Tribolium castaneum: one gene and its partner. The protein of the gene in region 1 interacts with the protein of each later gene in a pairwise test. Links are inferred from orthologs where the notes say so. Each region holds a gene or a part of one and is shown on either strand. Other genes may lie near its edges.

What was found.
Region 2: the proteins of uncharacterized protein LOC664374 (region 1) and Trs33 interact in a two-hybrid assay, tested with the Drosophila melanogaster proteins (2 studies listed by BioGRID). The link is inferred for Tribolium castaneum from reciprocal best matches to the Drosophila melanogaster genes CG5160 and Trs33.

The regions. Positions count from the first base shown.
Region 1 is NC_087397.1:6,593,157-6,597,709, reverse strand, and holds the start of uncharacterized protein LOC664374, read right to left. Parts: upstream 3,018-4,553; 5' UTR 2,817-3,017; intron 1,937-2,816; 5' UTR 1,924-1,936; coding exon 1,818-1,923; intron 1,766-1,817; coding exon 1,629-1,765; intron 1-1,628.
Region 2 is NC_087396.1:20,058,695-20,061,539, forward strand, and holds Trs33 (trafficking protein particle complex subunit 6b), read right to left. Parts: upstream 1,452-2,845; 5' UTR 1,404-1,451; coding exon 1,314-1,403; intron 1,266-1,313; coding exon 1,204-1,265; intron 1,156-1,203; coding exon 828-1,155; 3' UTR 794-827; coding exon of another isoform or gene 705-793; 3' UTR 660-704; downstream 1-659. Other genes in the region: Cbs (cystathionine beta-synthase), read left to right, coding at 1-20, 71-383, 466-653, 705-793; uncharacterized protein LOC103313595, read left to right, coding at 1,457-1,597, 1,646-2,023, 2,072-2,244, 2,295-2,619.

The DNA of each region.
Region 1 (4,553 bases):
GATTTATACTTATATTAGTCGATTCTGTTTAGTTTTTGAAATAATTTGTTTTTTTTTGACGATAACGCATTTTATTTAAAAAATTATTACACAAAAACAAAAAATCTAAGCAATGTAGGACGTTCACTATTTTAAAGGAAAAAGTTCAAACTTAAATCAGTATCAGTTGTTGAGCGTATGTCATTAGGATCGCAGACAAATTATAAATAAATATAATAAAATAAATAAATAAGTAAAACATGAAAAATATATTCAGCAGGACACTTTTCTAAGATTTTTAGTTTTTATGTAATATTTAAAAAAAAATTTTTTTTGTTAAAAAATCAAATTATTTCAAAAACAAACATTAATTTAAAAACCAATAACAATTTCTCTTAAAAACAGCAGTGTCGAAAGCTATATTCAAAAATCGCAAAAAAATATAGAATGTTTCTTTAAAAAATTGGATAGGTTTGTATTGTAGCTCATTTCGGAAACATTCTGTATTCTTGAAAATAATTTTATGTAAATCAGAGGATTAGTTTATACAGTTTTCGTAAAAAAAGATTAATTTTCTAACTATTTAAAGTCAACAATGGACTTTTTCATATTGCTGGAACCTCACTCCTCTTATGAAAGGCTTTAAATCAGAAATTAATTCAGTTTACTTGGAAAGAGTGATATTTCAAGTTTTTTAAGTGACACACAACTGACGGCAGCTGTTTACTTTTCAATAAAAGCTTATTTTACTAAGGAAATGCTTTATACCATCCAGTGAGGCTATTAATACAAATAATTTGAAATAATAATTTTTAATTGAATTTAATAAGGTTACAAAAATTTCCTCTCAAAATGTGTAAGCTTATTATAAGAAAGGTTTGCTTTCTAACGGCCCATTTTGTCTTTTTTCTCAGGCTAGGTGTGTTTGCCGTTCGGATATAATTGCTTTTGTTCGTTGAGTGAGTTGAAATTCAATAATTCCTTTTAGTACACTCATAAATCTTCGTTACTTCGTCTTCTTATCCCTTGATACTTAATCTATAACGGTTGTTTATCTCTAATATCAGGTTCGGACATCTTGATATATTGCCCAAATAGCAATTTTATTTTTTATTGTAACAATTATCGTCAAGTTGATTTTTTCAAACACTCAGAGACACATTTAATAAAACAATTACGTGATCACGAAACCACACGTCTATTGTTTAAAAAATAAAACTATACTGATAAAATTCGAATTAATTAAATTCTTGTTATTTACACGGAGTAAAATAATGACGAAATTTTTATCGTGAAACAGCGTTGTTGGCAACAAGATGCCACTAAATGATTACTTGATAAATGCAAAAATTATTTTTGCATAAGTGGTGTTTGATCAAAAAATCGATTCATTTTCACATAAATCGGCTACAACGTCCGAAATATTTATAAACAGTTAATAAAATGCTTTAATGATGTAACACCTGCTAATTCCTCGCCATTGTAAACATTCTAATTTTAATAAAGTCGCTTGCAACCACTTCCAGGCGATAACAAATACGCGGACTTTTATTATGACAAACTAGGCGTAATTAACTTTAATTCGAAACTTAATTAACAAATTGCACTGCCATTTGCACAGCGGACATGCAAACAGGGCGAAAGCTTACGTGCGGTTGTCCTGCCGTATCAAGGATATCAAAATAAACCATCTCGTTGTCAATCACTGTGTGGAAAGCGTAAACTTTTTCCAAAGTCGGGTCGTACTCGCCTATGTATCTTTTGGTAATAAATCGCACAACCATCGCTAGAACGGAAGCCTGGTAAACAAACCCAGAAATAGCCGCTCTGGCAATTACCTGATTTTCCGACACCGCTTTGCCCCAAAACCATGACCTTCAAAGTTTTCGGTCGGGGGTAGAGGCCGAGCTTGGCCAGTGAGGACTTCGGAGATGTTGCGTTCATTTTTCGCTCACATCTGAAACGATAAAGTTTTCCTCATCAACGCCAGAAAGAAAAACCGGAAATTTTAATCAAACTTTCGGACAAGTTTGCCGAGAAATGTGACGGATCAATATTGTAAAAAAAATAATTGAGACGGGAGCCGAGTGCGAATTTACGAGTTCAAGGAATGAATAATGCAGCGGGTATTTATCTACAAAGTTAGTTTTAAATGCACTTGAACTCTTGAAAAGTCGCTGTTTTGTTTTATTTGTTGTCCTTACTCGCTCCAAGGTGGGCCGCTTTAACAGCCTTCAATCCAAAACAATTCCGAGCATAAAAGTGCGAAAAGCTTACTCAAAATTTTATGCACTTGCATCAAAAATAGATTTCGGAGTATAAATGGAGACGAAACTTTAGACGACTCATCACAAAGTTGCGCCTGGATGTGACAGCTTTTGGCGGAAAGCTCGTCACGTAAGACAAAATTTTAATTAATTATTATCGAACTAAAAAGCTCTTCGGGGCCCAAAATTTATGGCGTAGTTTCATTACATGGCGAGTTATTGTTTGGAGTTCAAAGGACATGCAAAACTGGTTAAACCTTGATTAAAACGTAAGCTTTAATATCAATTAAAATGAGTCTCGTGTCGCAATCCTGGCATTGTTTTGCTCCGCTTGCACCAATAAAATAAAATTCCAAATGCACAAAAGCTCGAAAAGCAATTTATCGGACACTTGGCATCGATGTGGATTTAATTAAAAGTCCCCCTTTGACGCCGATTGTTTACCACCTCGCGGTAAAATTTCAACTTTGATCGACTTAGAGAAATTCAAAAGTGTTTACTTGCAGGAAATCATAATAAAGCAACATCAATCACACGTGTCACGTCAATAATAAGCGGGAAAACACGCACCTGTGAAGGTCTATTTAAGCGAAAAAACACCACCTCGCAGCACGTGGCCGAATTTTGCGACATTTATTGCGACGTCCCAAAGCTCCGAGCGCTTTTGCCAAACTGTTCAAATGTAGGTTAGTGGAATTGAAAGCGAATAAAGCACGCGCTTGCGTTTCCTCGCTATTTATACCGAAATTTACAAGTGCTTTTACACTTATTCCCTTTGAAATCATTACGATGTTTACGGAGATTTTGGAAAAATGGGACGTGAGCGGATTCATGGGCGCCGAATTACCAATGGGCTTAATTCTATTTATCCTTCGTAGGTGGCCTCGCTCGGATCAGCGATGAAAGCTCGAGCTTCGTTCGGATAAATCAGATAGATCAGAGTCTACGAGAAATCACCACGCTGTGTGGGCATTATGTTCAATTACGCAGTCTAATTAATTTTTAATTTCAAAGGAAAAACTGTCACTCGCAAGTGTGCCTTTCGTGTTTTCAACAGCTTTTGTTACTTAAGTTTCAAAGTAAATACCTGCGAAATTAAATATTTAGCCCCAAAGAGATCAAAGCTTTGTGTGATTCTTATTTGCTTAGCCAATAGTCAATAGAAGGGTGAAACAATGTTGGGGGCGTTTAAAACTGTTGACTCTCGAACCCGGTCTCTTATCAGTGTTTCTCTTATTTTGTCCTCAGACTTGAAATTAAGATCCCGACAGACATCGGTATCTGACAGCTTTATTAGAAAATTATTTTTATTGAACCTTCGATCAACGTTACATAATTTTGTTTGTCAGTCCAAACGGCTATTTTTGAACAAAAAGCGATTTTTGCTTTCAAAGTTCAAGGAGTGAAAATTAATAGAAAACGCAATAATTTTTCTCTAATTTCGATTGACACCTTCTCAAGTTGTGACTCGGTAAAAATTGACTCTTAATTAATTTGCATAAGTTAATGGATTATGGCAATAACTAAGTTTGAAACTATTAAGCTCTTCCAGATATTTACTCTCATTATGCAAATCCAAGTAAGAGGGTCATCATAATTAATAACGGCTTGTTTGTAAACTACTAGAAAATCGATAGGAAAAGAACGATGAGTTATGACGCTTTGTCTGCGCGGTTTCCAACAGCTATTGCAGGTAATAAAAGTTTAAAGCTCGGCACAAGAATTGAGGAGCGGTTCCTGTTGGCTTAGCGAAAAAATCCGATTGTCTGCAGTTGCAATCAAGGATGTTATTTATTGTCTTGTGATTATTTTGGGATGAGTCAAAGATAGTCGTGGCGTTAACAACCGGATATCGTATAATTGATTCCGATAACGAAGTTATTTGTAAAACGATTTGTTATATAATTATAAGACCCATAAATCACTTAATCTTGCACCTATTTAATCACGCTTCTGAGGTCGAATCATGAACACTGCGTGAAACAAGACTTTGGAACCAGTCACCGTAACTTCAGCTGGATTTTAAGAAAACTGCTAAAATTAGAATGTTTACTAATTCCACGGATTGACCCTCCCACTCTTATCCTATTATTTTGATATAAAAATGTTTTTTGCTCAATAAAACTTATCACGTTGTGAAATTTAATTCGTTTACCTCCGAATCGATTTTATTTATGTTTATCTTAAGTCACTCCACAAGAACAGATTAGATTTTTCTCAATTTATTTCTAGAATTGTTATCAAGAGGTATGACATTTCATCTAAGCGTGAAAGCGTGATTTTTCTGGATTTCGCCTCAAATTCTGG
Region 2 (2,845 bases), on another chromosome or scaffold:
AGAGGAAGGCTTGTTGTGCGGTATTTTTCTCTTTATTGTTTTGGTGTTGTTATGACTGGAATTAATACAGGTGGCAGCGCCGGTGCCGTGGTTGCTGCGGCGGTCAAAGCGGGCCGTGATTTAAAAAAGGGGCAAAGAATCGTCGTTATTATTCCTGATAGTATCAGGAATTACATTACAAAGTTTGTTTCGGACCACTGGATGGAATCGAAAGGTTTCAAACAGTGTGACAATCCAAATAATCACTGGTGGTGGGACCAGAGTGTTGCCAACTTCACTCTGGAAGCGCTTATAACTGCAACTTCAAGTATGACATGCGAGAGGATCTTGCATGTTATGAAAAAACAAGGCATCGATCAGGTGCCCATTGTTGACAAAAATGGGTGAGTTGTGTACAAGTTGCCAACTTAAAATCAAAATATTTGAAACCAAGAAAATTTTTTTAAATTAAAAATTTAATTTTAGTGGAATTTTGAGTATGGTCACGATGCAGAAAATTCTAAATGTCTTGATCAGCGGCAATGTGAGACCCAGTGACTCCATAGACAAGGCTTCCGTCACTGTTTTCCCTAAGGTTTACCAAAATGCGACTTTAGGGCTTGTCTCAAGGATTTTAGAGCGTGAGAACTACGTTCTAGTTTTGGAAAAACAAAGTAATATTTACTCTAACTTAAATGTAATTTATTGAGTAATTATATTTTTAGATATTGGACAATCAACAATTGAAAAACCCATCGGAATTATTACAGCAGTTGATCTCTTACATCACATTTCAACAAATACGCCCAAATAAAAAATAAAAAATTCCAATTTGATAAATTGTTTTTTTACGTCCTTTGAACCTGTATGTGAAATTTACACGACGGCATGTTTAACACTTCTGACGTGACAAGACTTGCAATCCCTAAATTTGCCAAACTGCCTCTGATAATCCCACAAGTAAATGCAGCAAATCTGGGGGCTACCTCTAAATATTGTTTCCCGTTTGATAACTTTGTGAGAAATCGAAAACCGTTGTCTTGCAACACGTAAACACCTTGGTGGTTTGTTCTCAAGTTATCAATTTGTTTCTTGTAAATCGCTGACCAGAAATCGGTGCAAATGAATTTCATTGTGTCCAGTTCGTCCTTAAAACGCGGCATTTCTTTCGTCAACCTACGAAAAGTTAAATGAGGCTCTGTAACGATAAACTAGATGGAACACCTTTCTATTATCCTGTAGCCTGTTGAAAACCCCATGTACTCAATTGCGGACAAATCTTCGTCCTAGAAACATTTAAATTGTTCATTTGCCACAAAAGTCAATAAATACACCTTTCCCTCCGCGTTTTGATCCTCATTTCGGCTCACGAAGTAATTAATTACTTCAGAATGTAAAAATTCAAAAAGTGTATCGTCTGACATTTTAAGGTTAGAACTGTTTGACACATGTCAGAAACGTCAGTTTTCAAAAAAAAATGTGGAAAATACCGCGTTATCAATTTGCTAAAGAATCCGAACCGGCGTTAATTAATTTCATAAAAGTGGCAAAAGAACAAGCAACAAACCGAAACTGTGATTTGGAAAAAGCCACTTTGTGGCAAACGATATTGCCATTGGTAAAAAATAATAACTTGGCTGTTTTTTGTGTTTTGAAAGATTTTTAGCCTTCGCACTTGATACAAAAGGTCGAGGAATGCAAAAATGCAAATGAAACACAGCCAAAATCGCCACCAGTAATTAACTTATGCTCAGACGAAGACACTGAAATTGCTCCACCACCACAAGTTGAGCCCAAAACTTGTGACCAAAAAGCCCTAAACGACATAGTTTGTACCATTAAAGACAATGTAGAAATCGAAAATGATTTACCCGATAACGTCACGGAGTATCTCGCAAAATGTGCAACCACAGACTTGGCAAAAATATTTCAAATGTTGGAGGATAGTCTCACAAGTGATGGAATTTTCTATTTGGGAGTTTCACTACAAAACATTTCTGGTGATCCAGTTAGATTGTTTTGTCACCATTTGTTGATGCCGCTGGTATTTATATTTACAGCAGTTTGGTAACATGTTTATGTCGTTTTTTAGACCAAGAAAACATGTTGCGACAAAATTGTGAATTTATTAGAGCAGTTTAGTTCAAAGTACCCCATTATAATAAACGAGGAATGTCTAGCACTAGTCCCGTCTTTGGAACAACACGAGACTAACATTTTTCTACAATATGTGAAGAATGTAAACTTTCAAACCGCATTAGCCAGGTAAACATTTTTTTAAATAGTATTTTTCTTTAGTGATTTAACTCTTGTAGGGATTTTATACTTTCGGTTGAAACACTGACCAAAAATTACATAATTATAATTGATTCTTTATTAAACAGTCAAGTGGAGTATGAAGTCTTAAATAAATTGGTTCAGTTGTTGTCCAACAGTTGCGAAGATCATCAGGATGATAAAAATTTCGGGAAACTGCTAATGCATACCATTGATGTCTTGGGTCCAAATCTGGTCCATGTTGAGCAAGCTTTGAAAAGCATAATTGCCGGTCATAAATCGGCTTTGAAAACGAAATTAGAAATGGCTTTTAAGACGAGTTATGAAGACAGTTTGCTATTTTCCCAGAGTTTCAGAGATTAATAAACTTTTCGCTTGATAAGATTTTTTTTTAATTTCGTGTTTAAAACTTTTGTACTAGTATCCAGTGCCACCAACGTGGTAATTTTTTTTTCCTTGTTTTTGGTGATTGTTGGTGAGGGAGTTTTTTGTAATTTACTATTTTTCGTGTTATTGCAATAAACAATTCTTTACAAATTGCTGTAGCATCATTGCCATTGCCTTTTAATTCAGGCGGAAATTGAAAAAG